Linked DNA regions of Diceros bicornis minor. The protein of the gene in region 1 interacts with the protein of each later gene in a pairwise test. Links are inferred from orthologs where the notes say so. Each region holds a gene or a part of one and is shown in the gene's direction. Other genes may lie near its edges.

Evidence for each region. The genes of interacting proteins can lie anywhere in the genome.
Region 2: the proteins of GSTA4 (region 1) and C12H2orf50 interact in binary tests that used the Homo sapiens proteins (3 or more experiments, as listed by UniProt). The two-hybrid records come from large-scale screens. The link is inferred for Diceros bicornis minor from reciprocal best matches to the Homo sapiens genes GSTA4 and CIMIP5.

Annotation. Positions count from the first base shown.
Region 1 is NC_080753.1:13,856,534-13,866,924, forward strand, and holds the start of GSTA4 (glutathione S-transferase A4), read left to right. Parts: upstream 1-6,227; 5' UTR 6,228-6,291; intron 6,292-7,244; 5' UTR 7,245-7,262; coding exon 7,263-7,349; intron 7,350-10,391. UniProt on the Homo sapiens protein: Conjugation of reduced glutathione to a wide number of exogenous and endogenous hydrophobic electrophiles. This isozyme has a high catalytic efficiency with 4-hydroxyalkenals such as 4-hydroxynonenal (4-HNE).
Region 2 is NC_080751.1:69,125,367-69,136,011, reverse strand, and holds the start of C12H2orf50 (uncharacterized protein C2orf50 homolog), read left to right. Parts: upstream 1-6,007; coding exon 6,008-6,258; intron 6,259-10,039; coding exon 10,040-10,079; intron 10,080-10,645.

The DNA of each region.
Region 1 (10,391 bases):
GTGCTGTTCTAAAAGTACTATTATGTAATTCACTTTCTTCTGTTCTTGTTCCCCAGATGAAAGAACTCTTAAGTAAATACTTTTTGACATTTTTACAATACCCTTTGTGGTGGTTGGAGATATCCAGGAGAAACCCAGAGTTATACGCTATGCCATCACATTCTATTTTCTTCCATTTATGAAATCAAATTGTATAAGTACCCACAAAAGGGAAGCCTTTCAACCAAAAGGTTCTCCACATAAAGGTTAACACAGTCAATTAAACTTATATCCCTACCAAGATGCATGACCAAAAAGCTGTTTCAAAGCAGCAGAAGATTTTTATATAATAACTGATAGAATTTTGCATTCAGCTCAGTTCTCCAGGCCTGGCTGGGAACAGACAATGAATAATCTTCTGTCCTAGCCGAATTCTCAGGGCAGTTTGGGAAGCAGAAAAGATGTATGGCAGATGTCCCACTTATCTGGGAAGTCACGGTTACCGTGATGTTAGTGTCCATGGCGTGCCACATTTGAACTCTTAACCCTTGTGTAGTTTCTTTCAACAGTGAGAACTCTGTTGGGCAGAGGCTGTCCCATTGAGAGGAATGTTTACAGCAGTTCTGAAAATGACAAAGCTAGTTTGGAGATAGAAAAAAACAAAAGGTCCACTTTCATCCATCTCTTTGGGGCACAAATTTGCCTCCACTCATGGTTACCTGAAAGGCAAGGGGAAGGTCACCACTGGTGAATATGATATAATCGCAATAGTGTATTGACTCACATTCTCTCAAGGCATTTGGTTCCAGGTTCCAGGATAGAGCAAGTTGACCCATATGAAATTGTCATTTTTGTAGCTTAAAATGAATATTGGCACTTGGACATGGTTCAGCATAATAAAGTTGGTAAATTATTGCTTTGATGTATTAATAATACGTTGCAGCCTGAACAAATCGCTGTGGCTCCCAGAGAGCCTGAACCTAAAATCAGGGAGTATTTCTGCTTTGGGGAATCTGGCTCAAAAATGTATTTGACCAAGCACTAGAGGCATGAGGAAAGCACATAATGGATGTGGATTTGATAAGTAATATTTTCCTGTTAACAAACTGGCAGCAAAGCTTCAGAAAATAAATATGTATATGTATGCACAACTTGAAGTTGAATTCATTTCTGTATTATATTCTCAACTCATTATCTAAAGCAACAGAAAATGTGTTTTCAGAGATGAGTCTTTTACTGAGGTTAATATTTATTTTCCCTTTCTGTATTTTGTATAAAGAATAATTTAACCTGTAACCTTACCCAGCTTGCTGGAAAGCTGGTTTTAAATTGTAAATACCCTTTAGGGAAGCAAATGGATTGTGAATACCATATTCTTGGCACTCTAGCTTATGTTAAGGTCGTTACATATTTTTTTAATTGAAAAACCTAGTTACCTGGTTATTACACATTATAAAATTGTTTCTTAATACTTTTGTAGGGCCCAAATTCAGAAAATATTTCACTTTTCTTCCTTTTCCTCTTTCCTTGGTTTATTAGCAAACAACTTCCCTTGGGAAGCCAAACACATTTATTCATATGAAAGTCAAGAAGCTAATGCACAGTTGAGAAAACTAGAAGACTGAAAAAACAACGTCAATTCTAAAGAACTAGCAAAATCCTGACGTTCTCTGTTTTTTCCCCCAGATGGGTAAAGGACACATTGTGTGTACAAGCTGTTTACTATAGAAGGGAATAGTGACCATTTTTTGTTAAGTGAAAATAAAATCTACCTGTTGCGTATATTTTTTAGTTACTATAGAATTATGAAATGTACCACAAGACACCAAGAGGAATGATGAGTTTCACTGCACCTACCCGTGACTGTGCCTCATTTCAGAGTCAGAAAGCTTTCCAGGACATCAGGAGATGGTGCAGGGCTGGCTCTCATTCAGTGACAGTGGTGTGCCAGGGGGCCCATGTGTAAACTGCAGGGAAACTGCATGAGCGTAAAAGCTACTCTTGGTGTCATTGTTCGTTTTACAATAAAATTCCATTCATTACCAAGACCTCCCCCAGCTCATGTATGATAGGATTTAAGTAGGAAGAAAATTGATTTTCAAACAATTTTTAGACACGTCTCTTGCCTAAAGGACCACCATGTACATCTAATAAATTGACACTATGTCATCTTCCAGAGTTATCAAAAATTGAATACAATCAAGGAAAGACATGTAAAACAAAACAAGAGTTGTTTTGTTTTTAAGTACCAATACCGGTACCCTTGGAGTTCACGGGCACCATGTTTTCTCATGAAGTAGCATTTCCCTACCATCAAGCCATTGTTTCGTGCCATTTAAGAAAGGAAAAAAATGCAGGCTGTATGTTTCAGCTCGGTGTATAACCAAAAGCAATATGTTTATAAGAAAATATTTGACATACTAATTATTTTATCTCATTTAAAGCACACTGTAGCAACTTGTTTGTTTAATATATGTGGTTAACTTTTAGAATTATTTTTTAAATTTCCAACCAAAGTACTGTATTTTATATAATTTATTGTGAAGACGTTCTCATGGAAACCATTAAGAAGACAAACTGGAGGCAAATGTCACACTGATCTGTATTATCAGTTTCTTAAAGACACTGTGCTAATGTGAATTTAAAATGATCTGAACAGTCTTCTGATCTCAGATTTCTCAGTACTGAGAGCAGTTTAGTCCCCTGATTGGATTACAAGGGAGTCACTGAGAATATTTATTTATAAAGCAAATATTCATAATGATGAGAAGATAGGAGGACAGAAAACCACTTATGCAAGCCTCCACTGAAATAAAGTGTTGCTTCTTGAATAGTTTGTCCTGAGGTGTTGAAAAACGTTAACTTGACGTAAGGAAAATTCTGCTCCAAATAAAGTTACAGTTTAAGAAAAATTGACTGGAGTGTTCGGGTTTTGTTTTCGTGCTCTGCCATCAAAAGATCACAGTACTATTTCCTAATTTGGAATTTTGAGATTTTATAACTTCTCCTTAATGCATACTACAGTGTTACTGCCATGGAGTTGGAAGCACACACTAGAGCCACAGTAGGAAGTTATCCTGCAAAGTGGAGGTTTTCTAAATTTAGCTTTTAGCAAATTAGGTGACTAAGGATATTAAAAAAAAAAAAAACCAGGTCAAAAACTATTTCTTGTTGCTGATGTCATCACGATTAATACCTACCTTGTATGTAAGAAGCTCATAACTTCATGAATTATATACAGGATTCCACAGGAAATTCATTTCCCAAACATTCTTTGAATCCCTGAAAGAAGTGTGCAGGAACATGTTTTACCAATCGGACTGGTATTGGTGAATCCCTAGATGTGCCCCTCACCCTCAGAACATGGCTGAGCTGACTGTGTGACCTTATGGCATATGGGCCCACCGTGCCCCTTCAGAAGCCCCACAGATTCAAGCCCTCAGCCATCCTTCCTGCTATAAAAACGCATTGTTAGAATAGGGTCTGATACCAGTCATTTATGGCTAAGGCTGAATTTAAGCCAATTGTTTCCCTCTCCCTGGAGTACTTACGTATAAAGCTTCTCTTAAACTGAGATTTAAAGCTGTTGATTTTTAAGGCAATTTTACCTGCTACTGAGTAGGTTGGTGAAGGGTTAAAGGCTGAGAGGCTCTCCCCGGGCCTCTGAAAATACATTAGGTAGATGGATAGACACTGTGAATAAGACTGTCCGAGACGGAGAGCAACTCGGAAGGTTTCCAAGAATAGCATGATTTCAGGGGCTTGCAGGGAATAACATGACCTGAGGGTACCTGTCATAGAATGGCAGAATTATTATAACAGGACTTGTATCTCTCCACAAGCATGGTAATAATAGAGTCATATGATGATGCCTTAGTTTCTCTTTCAGGTAAACAAGATTGCTAGGATAGTTTGACCCCTGTAATGTTAGGTTGGACATATGAAGTTGCCATTTTTGTGGGTTAGAAAGAAATAGGAAAGTATCAGCAATTTGATATGGTTCAAACAATTAGAAATAAGGAAATGGAGATAAATGTTTGGTTTATGAACAAAATTGAATAATCATGTTTGTCCTAACTAGTTTAATTCAAGTGAATCCTTGTAGAAAGATGGGTTGGAAAAAATGAATGATCAGTTTCAGCAGGGTTGGAAAATAATGACTTCCTACCCAGGTTAAATTGAGTAATCTGTGTTAGGTCAGAATTAGAAAGATGAAATTGAACATATACTGTTATTCGTGTTTGAAAGTGTGGCTTTTCTGACTCGAGGGGTGCCCAGCTGTTGTTGATTTTTTTCTCTTCTTACTTTATATCCTTTCTCTGGATCAGCTCATCCTGTTGCTGCCAGTGTGATCCATCTTAGTCTTCTCTTCTGAGTCATCACCGGCTTGTTCAACTGTCTAGTGGACATTTCCAGTCGGATGGCTCATAGGAATGAAAGACAAATCCACTGATTATTATTTCCCCCAAACCTCTCTCTCTTCCTCCCTCCCTCCCTCCCCTGTTTTCCTTCCTTCTTTTCTCTCCTTCTTTCCTTCAACAAGTATTCTCTGAATGCCTACTCTGTGCTAAGCATTATTCTAGGAGCAGGATATACAAAAGTATGTTTTAAAAATATGAAAATCTCTAACCTCAAGGAATTTACCTTCTATCAAATCTACAGACAGATAACAAAATAAATAAAATATCTAGTATGTTAGAGGACAATAAATGTTATGAAAAACAGACGAGGATGGAAAAGGAAATGTGTGTGTGGCTGTGTGTGTGTGTGTTTGGAGCGGCATCATTCTAGACTTTTCTCTTCCTCCTCTCCTCTACTCCTTAATATCTCACCTTTTCTTACCCATGTTCTTCAGACTCACGGTGCTACTTGAACTCACACGGACATTTAACAGGTCTCTCTTTCTCGACCCTGCACTGTCCCAATTCATTCTCCACACTTATGTTAGAAATCTACTGAAAATAATATATGATTGTATTAGTTACTGCGATTGATCAGCACCACAGTCTTCTCAAGCCAGGTAGTCTCAAGAGCCCCTCCTGGGTGAAAACAATAATCAACAAATGTACAGTCTGAGCGCAGAAACCGCCTCTAAAAACAAGAAATAGTTTTGAAGTCCTTTTGAAGGTACATATTTTTAAGTTTAAAATTCATGTGAATTTTGCATCATACTCTATAATATAGCCTTGATGGTTTTAAAATATGTTTAAAAGTTTCAACTTATTTACCAGCCAAATTACTTGTTTAGCCCCACTGACACCTTCACCCCAATGCCCCCACCTTCGTCCCATCCAGGAAGGTGCTATGTATAGTAAAAATAATAATAAAAATATATATACATATGTATATACACAAAATGAGAGAAATTAAGTTCTACTGTTTAATAAAATATGCGTTAACAGCACTTTTATGTTATATAGTACTTTGCCTACATAACACCTTTCAAAAATTCGCTGTATGTACCTTACACAAGTTACCTTACAGCTGGTATTTACAAGTCGTTCAGTGTGCTGAGCCTTCACGTTGATGCCTGTTGTTTTTTGCCTCCCAACAAAAGTTTCTTAATTACACTGTCAAAAGATTTCTTAGTTACATTGTCAAAAGAAAGGCAGACTGCCACATGCAGCGCCTCATTTGGATGTGTCTGGAGTCTTGGAAGCTTGACTACCCTACGTTCTCCTACAAATGGACCTTGAGAGCTTGTTTGGAGGTTCTAGCAGGGGAGCGCAGCTACTCGTATACCCTTGACCGAAGAACGGTCCTCCTCTATCGGGGAAGGTCGTCCTCTTCGACCGAGCGCGCAGCTTCGGGAGGGACGCACATGGAGCGGTGAGGGAGGAAGGGGACACCCGCCTAGCCAGCCAGATCAGCCGAATCAACCCTGGCGATCAATGGGGTGACAGATGTCGCAGCCAGATCGCCCTCACATCCGAGGGACCACACTTGAGCACGAGGTATATAAACCCTGTAGAGAATGCTCTCTTTTCGCATAGGTCGAGTTGTTTACCACATGCCTGAGCGCTAATAGGAACTTTTAACTAAAGTCCAAATCTAACTAACATTTTACAGGTTATTTCACCCTTCAAAATGCTAAAATTGCTGTTGAAATTGGCTTAAATTGGAGCTGTTTTTATATTATCCAGAATGCCTTGCAGATGGGTGGGGCATGCTAAATACTGCCGTCTCTATTGGTGAAATCTTCCCGCAGCCTCGCCCACCGTGAGTGCCTTCTGGCCGCCCGCTGCTCCCGCCTCGCCGCAGAGCACTTGTGGTGGGCTTTGTGCGGCTCCAGGTGCTCCGAGCGGCCTCCAGGTCTGTCTCCCCTGCTGCCCCCACCAGCCCCTTCTCCTCTTCCTTCTCCTCCCCTCTACTCTCCCGGCTTCGAGCCTCTAACTCTCCCATCCATCCGGTAACCACTCTTCCATTCAATCCTTCTCTAGTCTCCCTCCCTCTTGTCTTTGGCGCCTCTGCCCCCATCTGGGCATACGTGGGCCCTTGGCTGGGGTTGGGGTCGTTCTTGGCTCAGCGTGCGTATTTTTATTAACCCGCTCTGCAGAGTCTGAATCCATTGATGGAAGGCAGGCTCGGATCCTCCCCGGGCCGAGCCCAGCGTGGGCTGAGCGGGGGCGCGGAGTCCCCGGGAGTCTCGTCTCGGGTGGCCGACTGCGTGGCGTGGGAGCATTCGCCAGTCTGGGGGCTCATCTCCCAGCGGGGGCGGGGGACGTGCGGGACCCGGGGGCGGCTACCGCAGGCGTGGCGAGGGACGCACATTTTGCAGACAATAGTAATACTTAGCCTATCCATCTCCCAGTTGCTGTGATAATCAAATATGATGATGCATGTGAAAGTACGAATACTTGCAGAGGTTCCAGTGGGCGTGTAATTCTTCTCCGCGTCTGGCCTCTCCAGGCCGAATTTGTAAAATCTAAGATTTTCAAGGTCAAAGTATATGATGTTCTGAATCTGTGAAGTACCGTACTGCTAGCACAGATGTCTTTACAACAAATGGCCCCAGCTTCCTAAGATCCAGAATAAGAAATCAGAAATAGAAACAATATGAAAGCCAAGGTGGTTCGTTTTTTGTTTTTTTAAATGTTTTAAAATGGTGGCATGTTTTTATTGAGTGAGAGAGAACGCAGTAATAATTTAAAAAAAACAGTTTCCTGTGCCAAAATCCTGAATATTCGTTTAGCTCCTGAGCACTGGGTTGAGGACACGAAATTAAGACTGTTCGTGTGCGAGGAGCTGCTGGATTTGTTTTTCAGAAAACCTGAAAGGCCATCATGGCAGCGCAGCCCAAGCTCCACTATCCAAACGGGAGAGGCCGGATGGAATCCGTAAGATGGGTTTTAGCTGCTGCTGGAGTTGAGGTACCCTATATGCTGTTTCTTCCTGTCGTACAGCCTTGAGACTATTGAGGAAAACATAAATGGCGGAGCCTTGTGGAGTCCTCTCCCACTAACATTACAGACATGCTTCATTGAGTCAGAAGACTCCTTCCTTTCAAGGGGTTTTTTCTTTATAAATGGAATGTCGTTGATGGAATTCTGTTTTACTTTTGACTATTACTTAATCGTTGGCTTCCGATCTACTACCAATAAATTAATAAGGAGAAAAGCAATGAACCTGAAATTTGCCAGTTACTCCCAGAACTTTTAATCATACAATCTCTAGGTAAATTGTCTGTTTACTTCAATGGCTTCAAACTGGCAGCCTTCTATTTTTGTCTGCCTACGTGTATGCTTCGGCCCACAGTGTTTTTGTTTTTCTTTTGGTTCTGTTCTTTTGCCTTCTTATTTATGGAAATTTTCAAATGCGAACAGTGGTAGACAGAACATTACCGTGAAGTCCATGTACCCTTCGCCAGCTTCAACAATCATTAGCTCTATGCTAATCTTATTTCTTCTCTCTCCTCCCCTCTGCTTGTTTTGTGGGAGTGGGTACTTCAAAGCAAAATCCATACATATTGTTTCATCTGTGAGTACTTCAGTTTGTATCTTGAAAAGATGAGGATTTTAAAACATAACCACAATACCGTCATCACACCCAACAAAATTAACAATTTCTTGTTAGCATCTAACACTCAGTCTGATTGTCTCAAACAGGTCTTTTTATGGTTGGCTTGTTCCAGGCTGGATCAAAATCAGGTCCACGCGTTGTGTTTCGTTATGTTTCAATATTTTAAAAATCTCTAACATTTTCTCTGCATTAAAAAAAAATAAACCTTGTATTTGGAAATAATTTTAGATTAATAGGAAAGTTATAAAGATAGTGCAGAGCGTTCCCACATAACTGTCACTCAGTCTCCCCTAATAATATCTTAGATAACCATGTCAAAACTAAGAAATTAACATTGGTGCATAAACTATGGACTTTATTCAAATTTAATTAGTTTTTCCACTAATGTCCTTTTACTGTTCCAGGATCTGACATTATATTTAGTTATTATGTTTCCTTAGTCTCCCTCAATCTGTGGTAGTTGCTCAGTCTTTCCTTTATTTCACAACCTTGACAGTTTTGGAAAGTATTGTTCAGGTTTTTTGTAGAATCCTCCACAGTTTGGGTTTCTCTGATGTTTTTCTCATGATTGTACTGGGCTTTGGGGTTTTGGGGGAAGAATACCACAGAGGTGAAGTGCCCTTCTCATTGTATCATGTTAGGGGTTCCATGATATTAACATGAGTTATCATGGGTGCTGTTAACCTTGGTCACTTGGTGAAGGTGGTGTCTGCCAGGTTTCTTCATTGTAAAGTGGCTATTTTTCCTTCTGTTCTTTGGAAGCGAATCATTAAGTTCAGCCCACGCTCAAAAGGATGGGAATTAAGCTCCGCCTCCTGAGGGGAGAGTATCTGCATTTAGAATTCTTATGTAAGGAAGATTTATCTTTTTCTCTCCATTTATTTATTTATTCAATCATTTGTTTATATCAGTATGGACTTAAGTATATTTATTTTATACTTTGGGTTAAAAATCCAATAGTACTTTATTTTCTTACTCAAATTGTTCCAGCTCTGGCCTTTGTGGCTCTGTCAGGTGGCTCTTGTGTCCTTTCCACAAAGCCCCATGTTCCTTTTTTTCCTTTCAGCGCTTTCTTACTTTCTGACACTACAGGATGCTCCAGGCTCACCTTGTATTTTCCTTGCCCCGGCCTTAGAATCCTGTATTTCTCCAATGAGCCCTGGTCCCTTTTATTAGAACACGGTATTAACAGCCAAGATCTGGATGATAAGTGTCTGCATTTGTTTCTAGTGCCATTTATTTGTGGAAGAAACTGCCCTGTAGAATTTCCCCTTTTCTGGATTTGGCTGATTTACCCTCATTTTAATATGTTCCTTTATTCTCCATATTTCTTGTAAACTGATGCTGGGACCCAGAGGTCTGATCAAATCCAGGCTCCTTTTTTTCTTTCTGTCTCTGGATTTTTTTCCTGCCAGGCTGTATCAGAGGTGATGCTCTGAACACATTTCTATTGTATGACATCTGGGGTGCATGATGTCTGACTGTCTCGTTTTCAGCAACACTGAGCGTGATCAGTGTGTTCCGGTGACGTCAGCCTGAACCACACGTTATAAAGTTTCCTCCGTTACCCTTGCAACTAGTGGTTTTAGCAGCTGTTGATCATTGCCATTGTTAGGGATTACAAAATGGCTATTTTTCTATTTCTGTCACTTCACCTGAATTTATTAGCCATAATTCTCTTATAAAGAGTAATGTTTCATTTGTTAACTAATTACCTTGAAGTACAGTTCATATAGGAAGGGCAAGATAAATGCTTGATTCTGTCTCTTTATGAATTTTCAGAATAGTGAGTCGTTACCTTAGCAACCTCCAAAGATGAGAAATGAAGGTTGTTGGCTTTGGGGTTTTGTTTGTTTGGTTTGGTTTTGTTACAGGATACATACCCAGGTTCTTTACCCGCCACACAAGAGGGGCCAAATAAAACTGGAACACCAGGCTCACGGCAAGGAAAGAGTTTTATTTCAGGTGACGTCAGCAGGGAGACAAGAGCTCTCAGATTTGTCCCATCTCCCCGAAAGATGGGAGGCAAGGGGTTTTAAAGGTTGTGAGGGGGAGCGTCTACTGGAGTTTCAGGTAGGGGAGGGGGAGCATGTGGACCTGCTGGTTGGCACCTTCCCACCAGCTTGTGTTTGGCCTTGAAGACTGAATTTCTCTCCCTTGACTGTCTGGACTTTTCTGGTTAGTTTTCATCTTCAGCCTGCGTTTGGCCTTGTGAGGCTGAATCTTGATGTCTGTACCTGGATTTCCTGAGAAAGACAGCTCACTCATATACTGAGGAGGGACAGAAAGACCTGGTTAGTTTTAAACAACAGTTGATTATGCAGAGTATGCACAGCTGCAGTTAGCAAAGCTTATCTCAAAGTTTTTGCTCTCTTCTTCTAGCCCAGGGAAGA
Region 2 (10,645 bases), on another chromosome or scaffold:
TCCTGAGCTAATATCTGTGCCAATCTTCTTCTATTTTGTATGTCAGTTGCCACCACAGCATGGCCGCCCATGAGTTGTGTAGGTCTGTGCCTGGGATCTGAACCCGTGAACATGGGCTGCCAAAGCAGAGCATGCCCAACTTAACCACTAGGCCATGGGGTTGGCCCCTAAAATCACCCTCATTTTACCAAAGATAGCCAAATTAAGACTAATTGGTTTGCAAAATAAGCCTAGTTTCAATAAAGTTGGCCCAATTATTTATATAAGTACAGCAAGAATAGCAATTGATCATATAGGCTCTTTTAAATCTGCTTTGCTGGAACTTTTTATAAGGAATCTCAGATTGAACTTTGAAGGCCTCTTGCAGGAAAGCAAAGCCAAGGACTTGTCATCAGACTCCACCTGCAATACCTATAGATTTGGGTGAACTCTCCTTTTCTCAAGGTCCCCAAAATATCCTGCGGTTCTTTGCATCTGCCAGGAAGTGACCTTTATTCACCTGGCAAGGTTGCTGGGAACCCTGTAAGCAAGGCACCAAGCCAGTATTTCCAAGTAGCTTTGTTTGTTTCATAAAGTCTATCTTTGTTCCTTTGTTCCTATTTTGGTCATATCTGAGTCTATGTATGTTTCTCTCAAATACGACATTCTTATATTACTAAAGTCAAAGCTTTAGTAATATAACCAGTGTTTTCTGTTATAAGGAGAACAGATTCTCATTGAACTTATGCAAACAACTGTATTGCCATGAAGGTAAGAATACTTACTCACTAAGAGTTTCCAAATTCTGGAGGGATCAGGTAGGGAGAAAAAGATAAATGCTTAAATTCTGCTTACAAAAGTATAATTTACCAAATTGCTATAAGTCATAGCTAGCTTAAGAAAAAATAGAAAAAGGTTTTCTTAAATCTGAAAAAACAAAACATTAAAAAATCAGCACTATTTCAAATGAAAAGTCATAAAAACTATAATCAACCTCATCAGTTCGTTTACTCCCCTGTAATCAACTTTTGATCTTGATCTTCTGTTAGCAGTTTCATGAAGTCATCAGCTTTTCCGTTAGAGCTCTGCAATTTCTTACCCAGTTCACTTTTATGATCTGAAAGTTTATCAGAAACCTGCATTCTAGAGCAAGTGTCAGAGTCCTTTCCATGACTCTCTGAAGATGAAACATATTTGCAAAAGCAGAGTAAAACAATAACTGTCTATAAATGTCAAAAGACTTCAAATGGGCTATAGGTCACTGTGAAACAAGGCTTAGTTATCCAGTCAACCAAAGTGACAAGAGAAGATGTTAAAGGCAAACACAGAGAGTTAAACAGTTTTTAAAAACCTTAATAGAGAGACCTCAGCTTTTTGAACATAGGAAACTATTTTGACAAAACACGGAATTTCTTTTATGTAGATTTACTCAAAAGGTAAAGAAAAATATTTTATAATCTCTTTATCAAGAGCAGAATAAAAGTTTAAGAAAATTATCCTTTTAAGAGAGAGAAAACCAAATTTTAATTTTGTACCAGCTTACTTTTGATATTAAAATTCATTTACTTAACTAAATTCATTTTAATCTTAGCCAACTTGACCATGCACAAAACTCTTTTCTCAGTTTTTCTTCCATAAAACTTCTATAACCTTTTTAACAAACAAAAATATCTTTACTTCTTATACCTTCTTTACTGAAAACATACGTCTTACGTTTCTTGAATACAAAGATGTTTTCCTTACTAATTTTTAGTAGCTTTAATCACATTTATTAATTAGAATTCTTAACCCTTACAGACCTTAATTTTTAGTGAAAACTAAGAAGTAAGCAGTTATGAACTGTCTTTTACATTAGCATTTTGTGGCTTGGCAAACTTATAAATACTTTTTATAATTTCTAGAAATATGTGACTTCATAGTACAATCTTTTAACTAAACACAAGACATATTTACTAATAGACCCAAATATCTTTTGGTTTGTCTGTAATAAGAAGCCAAAAGTAGACAAATCTATATTTAGTAATTAATGTCTAATATTTTATCTTATTTATAAATAATCTAGATATTCAATGAATTTTCCATCATTTAATTTAACCTAGCAAAACTTCAAAGTTTCAAATTACCAGAGATTTTGGAAGTTATTTTAAATACACATAACATAAAATATAATTATTGCTAAAAGTTTATCTATAAACTCTTGTCTCACATCTAAATCATTTGCTCTGAACAATTATGTTTAGATTACCCACAAAAACTTCATGAGACATTAGGCAAAATTAGCTATCATGTTAAGTTATTATTTTTGCTGACAAATTTTGTAACAGAGATAACATGAGTTTATTTCACTGGGAAACCCAGGTTGCATGTTTGCATTATACCCAATGTTGATAACTCTGAGGACACATCTATTTTAATCAAACCAACAAACTTAAACAAGCTTTTGTTTACCAAAGATTATTTTATATTACATTAACTTGAAAGACATTTGGGCTAGTTTCTATTACATTTAGAAATAATTTATATAACCACCTACTTTAAGCAAATTAAACAGAGCTCCTTTTTTTCTTTAGAAATTATACCATCTGGAGGTAAAATATCACACATATATAACATACATATGGACACATATACACAAAGACTCCACAGCTATTGTTTTAAAACTTTAGGATAATGTACCACATCTTTAAAATTCTGCACAAAGCATTTAATAAAGGTCCTCTTTCTAAGTGTACAATTTAACCCTAGACCAACTTACCTTGGGGGGTTGCTTTTATTATCTTTTTGTTAGCACCTGATATTAGCCTCTAGTTTTTATCTCATACTGTGTGGGCTCAGGCAACCCTCTTGACTTCCCTTTAGCAATGTTTAATTAACATGGTCTGAAGGGCATATTTATATGCTGTCTACAATCAGGCAGGGGAAACGTTCCCCAGCGAGACACAATGTCTATCCTCACAATACAATCTATAATACAGTTAGGCAAAAAGAGATGCAATCACATAACCACCAGCCCTCAAGGACCAGTTCAACTGACCCCATCTTATCAACAGAGTAATTGTTTTTAAGAGTCGTTTTTCAGAACTGAGACTCCCTTGTCCAGTTCAGGCCAGGTGAGACCACCAACCCTTCAACTGGGCCTGAGCAAATGCCTGATAGGTGCTCCTTTCCACACCAAAGGGCTGAAAACTCCACCCTCAGATCTTGCTAACACCACCATTTTGTGAACATGCGTCCCATGAAGAGCCATGAAGCTTGACTATACTTGCGCAGATCATCAATTACCTCACTTCTCCTTACCTCTGATCATCTATCTCCTTACCTCCAATCATCTACTGTGGCTGTGAATCTTTTCTTTTATAAAGCCTTCAAGGTGTGTGCAAGGGTGGAAGAGGGGGTGGTGGTAAGCCAAAATTTTTATCCCCTAAGGGGAGGTTTAGAGAAGATGAGGGACAGCTAAATATGCAGACAAATATTTCCCCCTACTGGAGCCCTGCCTGTCCCTGCAACCCATCCCTGCCCCCTCCTCTGCTGACCATCATTTCTGCTCCCTCCGACTTGCTCAGCCCCTCCGAAGCTCTCTGGCTCCTCTGCCCTGCCCCTCACCGGGGAGCCCCAGCCGGGATCTTCCCTCTGCCCGCCAACTCTAGAGCGGGCTGAGTCTACAGGAAGTAGGCGGGGCTCCTCCTGCCAGCCCGCCCACACCTGCCCTGCGGGGCGGAGCCCCACTCCGTTTTGCCGACTCTCCCAGGTGCTGCTCACACCTGGCCTAGGGAGGTCGCGGCTGTCGCTGCACACCTGAGTGGAGGCTGGAAGGTTCTTCCAGCACCTACTTTAAAGGCCTTCTTGGGGTTGAGAAAAATTCGTTAAAATACAACTCCACCAACCCCCAAATCCAGAGATTTTTGTCCTCTGCTGGAAAGTCTTATATCTAGTTAGATCACAGAATGTGAAGTGTGGAAGGGGCAGTGACTTGCTTAAGGACACGCGTACTGGACCCCAGTGTCCTGATTCCCAGGCGAGGCCTGCCTGAGAGCTGGGAGGCCCGGTTGAGGAATCCTCCCAGGCGCAGTGAGACCCGCCCAGAGTGAATCTGGACGCTTTTCCAGGACAGCGACCTGTGGAAAGAAAATGTGTTCAAGCTGGACTGGAAGGTGAAATCTATCCCCCGCCCCCCATTTTATTTTGAAAATTTATAAACACATAAAACAGTTGAAAGAATGGTATAGTGCACCCCCATAAACCCATCACTTAGATTCCACAATTAACAGTTGATTATTTTTGCTTTGTCACATATCTACCCATCCGTCTATCATCTTGGGCCCTCTGCGCAAGCCCAGTGTGGGCTCCATCCCCTCCTCTACCTGGAGCATGGCAATGGTCACTTCACCTACTTCTTGTCCCCTCCTGATGATTGTTCCCCGGCCACCACCTGTGGGCTTAGAGCCAGCAGTGTCCCCCCCCTTGTGCACAGACTCCCAGGCACAGTTCTAAACAGTCCTGCGGCCCGGCCCAGCCTCCAGCCTCGGGCCTTGCCTCTTCTCACAACTCCCCCAAATACCAGGCTCTCTCTTGCATGCAAGTTTTTGTACTCACCCCAATTTCTCCACCTGGGAAATCCTTTCCACCTTGTGAAGACCCAGCTGCTTGGCCCCTCTTTCATGAAAGCAGAATCCAGAAGAGATGCCCAGGTCTGGCGCCCGGTGCAAGCTCAGTGTGCTGGCTGGACTTGTCCCCACACCCTGGGCGCTTTGCGCATACCTCTGTGTAGCTCAGCTTTGTCTGCACTTAGTTGTCTGTGTGCCTGTTTCCCAGCTATGCAGAGAAGGGACCATCACGCCCAGCTGGACCAGTCCAGAGAACAGTTTCATGGAAGCAACTGTGAATCTGCCAACACACACAGGAGCTAAGAAGAAGCGGAGGGACCTGGAAGCACTGAGTGCCTTGGGCAGAAGCAGTGAGGGGATGTCTGAGGGATCAGCTGAGCCACACTAGGACAGGCCTGGGGCCACAGAGCAAACTCGTGCTGCACGGCTTCAAGCAGAAACAGGGCTGAAGGTTCGGAACGTGAATCTCCACCCTCGGGTTCTCACTGTTTCCTTCAGAGGATGGAAACTCAAGGCAAGCTCTTCAGTTAGGAGCTGAGCGACATTGGGCAGTCAGTCCTGCTGGTGAAGGCCTCGATTTCCTCCCCTGTAGAATGGGGTTGGAAATCTCTGCCTTGGAGGTTGGGAGGGTCCAGCAAGATAAAGGATAGTGCTTTGTAAACCCTCCAGGTTTACACAGATAGAACAGATATCATGCAATGCCTGGCGTATGCTCATAACCTCTTCCATCATTCCAACAGAGCAGCAGAAGCATCACACCAGTCCCTGCTCTGTGGTTCACAAAGCACCCACACACCCACCACCTCATGTGGCATCCACAGAGGGCAGAACAGAAGTATTATCATCCCTTCACATGCCCCAAAAGGGGCAGGGGCTGCCTAAGGGCATGTGGCAATGATCGATGATCAGGAGGCTGTGTCCAGACCCCCGTGTCCCGATTGGGAGCCCAGGTCTTTTCTTACTGCCCCTCTTTCCCTCCCCCATGCTGTAGGGAGGTCTCCAGCCAGCAGGGCAGGCGGCAGAGCCGAAGGGCCACTGAGCTGGGCATGGCACAGACCCAGGAACTCTGTCCACCCCACCGTGGGGCTCAGATGTGCCAGACACACACACACATGCAGGCCCGCCCCTTCCTGGGCACACTGGGGAGCTGCCCCGTTCCCAGGGCAACTGTCAACACAGATAGAAACTCAAAACACGAAACACAGCTGGACTCCAATGCTCACCCCAGCCTGGAGGGCTCCGTCCCCATCGGCCACTCCAAGCTCTGAGTCCAGAGGGGCAGTGAGGAGAACGCCTGCACAGGGTTAGGAGGGAGAGGTGTCCTGGGAGAGGTCCGAGCTCAGGCGGGAGGTGCTCTCTCCCTCTCTCTCTCTCTCTCTCTCACACACACACACACATACACACACACACACACACTTACACTCATGGGGAGCCACCACATCCCTGGGCTCCAGAGAACCACATCAGCTGGGTACCGACTGCCCTCCATCAGGCCACCAGCCTTAGTCTCCCCCACTGCCCAGGGCAGCCCTGTGGCGGGAAGGGGCCTTGCTGGTGGCCACCAGGCCCCCCAGGACCCAGAGGCCAAGCGGGCATCTCTGAGAGCTGACAATGTGCAGCAGGACCAGCTGTGGAGGGAGCTCCTGGAGGCCGAGAGGCGGAGCCAGCGGCGCTGGTGAGTGCCCTGTCCTGCCCTCCTGCCCTGCCCCCAAGCCTGACTTAGGATCTAGGAGGAGAAAGGGGAGTGAGAGGGAGTAAGCCAGACAAAGAGAGTTGGTGGAAAAGTGTGCCAGCGGGGGCCCGGGGCGGGGGGGGGGGGGGGGGGGGCAGGGGGGGGCGGTGGAGGGAGGATCCTGGCCGTGGCCAGACCTGGGCCTAGAGAGTTGGGAGGAGTGCAGCCCCAGTGCCTTCATTCTGGGATCCCATCAGCCCAGCCCATTGGAATAATTCCTCTAGCCAGGTGGTAGGGGAGACTGCAGGTGGGGGGCCAGGAAGCGGTGGCAGCAGTCTGGGGAGAGACGCTGGCCCACTGGCCCTCTGACCTGGGGAAAGGACTTCCCTTCGTGCATTCATTCAATTCAAAAACTCCCAGGAGAGCCGCTCTGTCGGGCTGCAATGGGGGACAAGACAGGCTGGTCGTGGCTCCACGGAGCCTTCCTTCTCAGGACAGAGCAGCCAGAAAGCAAGCAGAGGACGACGGATGAGAACCCAGTACAGAACAATGAGGACAGAGCAACGAGCACCAAGTGTGGCTGGTGTCATGGAGGAAACGAATGGGGACAGCGGGCGCCTCCTTTTTGCAGGTGCTCATGAGGCCTCTCTGAGGAGGTGACATTCAAGCTGAGACCTGAAAATGAGAAAGGGCCAAGAAAGAGTTTGGTGTGTTTTAAAAACAAAGCAAAACAAAGAATGTCCGTGTGGCTGAGGCAGTCAGTGAGGGGACGGGCTGTGGAAGGAGGAAGAATTCAAGGAATGTTTTGATGGTAGAATTACAAGAATTGCTGATAGATTGGAGTGAGTGTGTGTGTGTGTGTGTGTGTGTGTGTGTGTGTGTGTTGGGGTGTGGGGGACATTTACAAAGACAGGGCCGTCTGGTGCAGGGAAAACTGAACAGAATCAGGTATTTATGGGCAAGCAGGAAGAACGCGTGACACTGAGTAGACGTGAGAGGAGGGTTAAGGGTGCAGAGATCTCCAGCTTGGATAATTGATGGGAGGAGCAGGTATGGGGTGAAGATGCTGAGTTCTGGCAGAGTTCAAAATGCCCGAACCACGTCCAGATGGAGTCGCCCAGGAGGCAGTTGACTCTGAGTCGAGAGTTGGGCACTGAAAACCCACAGAGACAGAGAGCAGATGACAGGGGCTCTCCCAGGGCTTGAGGGCAGGGAAGAGGGGAGTGACTGCTAGTGGACACGGGGTTTCTTTTTGGGGTGATGAAAATGTTCTGGAATCACATAGTGGTGATGGTTACTCAACTCTGTGAATATACTGAAAACCACTGACCCGTATACTTTAAATGGATGAATCTTATGATATGTGAATTACATCTTGATTAAAAAGAGAAAAAGGTGAGCGTTGACACCGGAGACGGGAATGAGCTTTCCCCGGAAGAACTCGAGGCATCAGAAGAGATGAGGAGGTCGGCCAGAACTTGCAACGTTGACTGGATGGGCAGAAAAGCAGCCAGGAGCCCGAGAAGCAGCAGCCAGAGAAGAAAGCCCGGAGAGCAAGGAGTCACAAAAGCCAGGAGGAAAGGGTGTGGGGAAATCTAAGAGCCCAACAGAAACACAACATGAGCCACATACGCAATGTTCCGTTCTCTAGTAGCCACCTTAAAAAATGTAACAAGAAACTGGTGAAATCCATTGTAATAACAGATTTTATTTAATCCTATATATCCAAAATGTTATCATTTCTACATGTAGTCAGTATAAAAAAATTATCAAAGAGATATTTGATATTCCTCTTTGTATCAAGTCTTTGAAATCCGTTCATACTACTCTTATGGCACATCTCAGTTCAGACCAGCCACGTCTCTAACGCTCGATAAACCGACCTCATCTTGTTTTTTATAGACAGAGAAACTGAGGGCTCAAGAATACAGTGGCCTTGCTGAGAGCCACACAGCAAGCAGGCAGCAGAGCAAGGGCGAGAGCCCAGCGCTCTTTCCTCATACCTCGCTGGCTCTCGCTAAGACTTAGCATGACTCCGAGATCAAGGTCCCTGCCTTCTGTTAATTCAAAACCAAAGCTATTGAAACATGGCTCCTTCATGACAGCAAAGGAGGCGATGGTGGGTGGGAGGGGCCAAGACATTGTGGAAGATGGAGAGAGATGGACTGGCAGAGCAGGGAAAGTGCGGCATAAGAACTACAGAGAGGATGGAGGAGGAGGGCAACGGAGCTCCCAGGAAGGCTCAGGTGTGGCTGCACCCAACATCTCAGAAGGGTGGGCTGAAGACAGGAGGCTCCATTCAAAGTCTGTCTGTGGAACAGTTAGGCAACCTGAAAAAGAACCAAAAAGAACTTCTAGAAATGAAAATGTATATAGTTGAAATTCAAAACACAACTGAAGTGAGAATTCATAAAGTCAAGATAGATTAGAAGAAAATACTCAGAAAAACAAGGAGATAGAAAACATGACAGAAGAATTAGAACCCTCGAGAACAGAGCAAGAAGGTCCAACATAACTTCAAAGAGAGCTCCCCAAGGAGAGAGTGAGGGAGATGAAATATTTGAAGAGAAAATGTCTGAGAATTTTCCAGAACCAAAGAAATACATGAATCCACAGATACTGGAGGATGCACTCCACAAAGCAGGAGAGTAAACACGAAAGGAAGGCATGGGATCCAGAAAGAGGGAAATCCCAGGGTGGTGGTGAAGGAAGGGGCTGTGCCTTGGTCCTAGAGAGCAGCCCGTCTCATTGGAGCAGAGGACCCCAGCTCCCAGAGGGCGGCCTCTGCAGAAAAAACTTAAATGAAGTTATCGATTACCTGATGTGTTTCATTTTGTGGAGAACATATTGAAAGAGCCTTATAATTTTGTTCGAGAGTTTGGAATCAATGATCAGTACATGGAAACCTAAGAAAATTGGGAGAAAATGTAATTATTAATGCTAGGAAAACATTTTAAGATGGAACTGGGATCATATTATACTACTTATTTCATCATAAATAGTATTTGTAATAATATGGCTATAATCAATAAATATCAATTTAACCAAAATCTATAATACAGTTATTTTGGAAGAAATGAAGGGAGGACAAAGGGCAAGAAGGGTAACTCATAATCTCCTGTAACAGAAAGTCAATCGATAAGTTTACATTTGCAGAAACTCAGGAAATGGCAGTATGGGTTTATTATTTTAGAATATGGAAGTGAAAGGTGTGAAGAAAAGGCTAAAAGACTGGAAACCGACTCTAGGCCGTGGGCTCAGGGAATGTGAGGGTCGGGGCAGAGAAGGCTGTTTTTATTATGTCTTATAGAATTGTTTGACTTTTTAAAAATAGATTAGAATAAAATTAAATTACCAGCACAGGTAATGCCGGATGGTCCCTTCATTGCCACCCTCTTTTCCCTCACCCTCCCCACCTTCCTCTGCCACACACACTGGAAGGTTCCAAAGGCTTGGGGAAGTGGAAACTGGTTTTTCTTTACAAAATACTTGAAGACTCGCCCAGTGGCCTGGACAATGCAGAGGCGGTGAGATTGCGTCCTCTGCTGTTCCTCTGGCAACATCGTTTCCTCTCTGGGAAGATTGAAATGTTTGTTCATTTTATAGGATACGCCATAAATACTTGGTCGACATTTGGCATTCATTTCACTTAATCATTTTAGTTCCTCCACGATGTAACAAATGCATCAGCAGCATTAACAAACGCGTAAGTTTGACACCATGAAAGCCGTTTGTAAAAATGTCACTGCAAGATCTCACACTGCAAATGTGTTTTCCTTTCCAGGGCTCAGAATTGGAGTTTCCTGAAAGACTATGATCCCATGGTAAGACAAACCACGTTCCTACCAGACAGACTTGCTCTAGGAACGTTTATCCACTCATCTAACATTTACTGAGGATCTACTGTGTGCTAGATGCTGGGATGTACAGAGACAAATAAAATACAGTCTTGTTCCAAGAAACTCAGAGTCTAGGAGGAAAGAAAATACTTATGTAGAGCATTTAAGAAATTACTTTTTCCCAGTGTTTCTTGATTTTATTAAAATGAACCAGCTGGAAATGATAGGCGTCTGCCGCTGAAATTCTTCCCTGGTATGAGGATGCCAGCAATGTACAGTGATGTGTGCTGTGCCCCATACGGAGAAAGTGGGTGAACATACTTTGTGAACTAATCCCTGCCTCTAATATCACCCCCTCCAATCCATCCTACCAAAGTCATCTTCCTAAACTGCAAGACTGACTGTGTCTCTCCCCCGCTTAAAATCCTTCAGTGAATCTGCATTTTTCAGGGTGGCTTACAACGCTTCCAGAGAGCAAACCCTGCCTCCCGCCCCACCCTCCTTGCTCATCCCACACTGACCAACCCACCCTCTCTTTTATCCACGCCTTT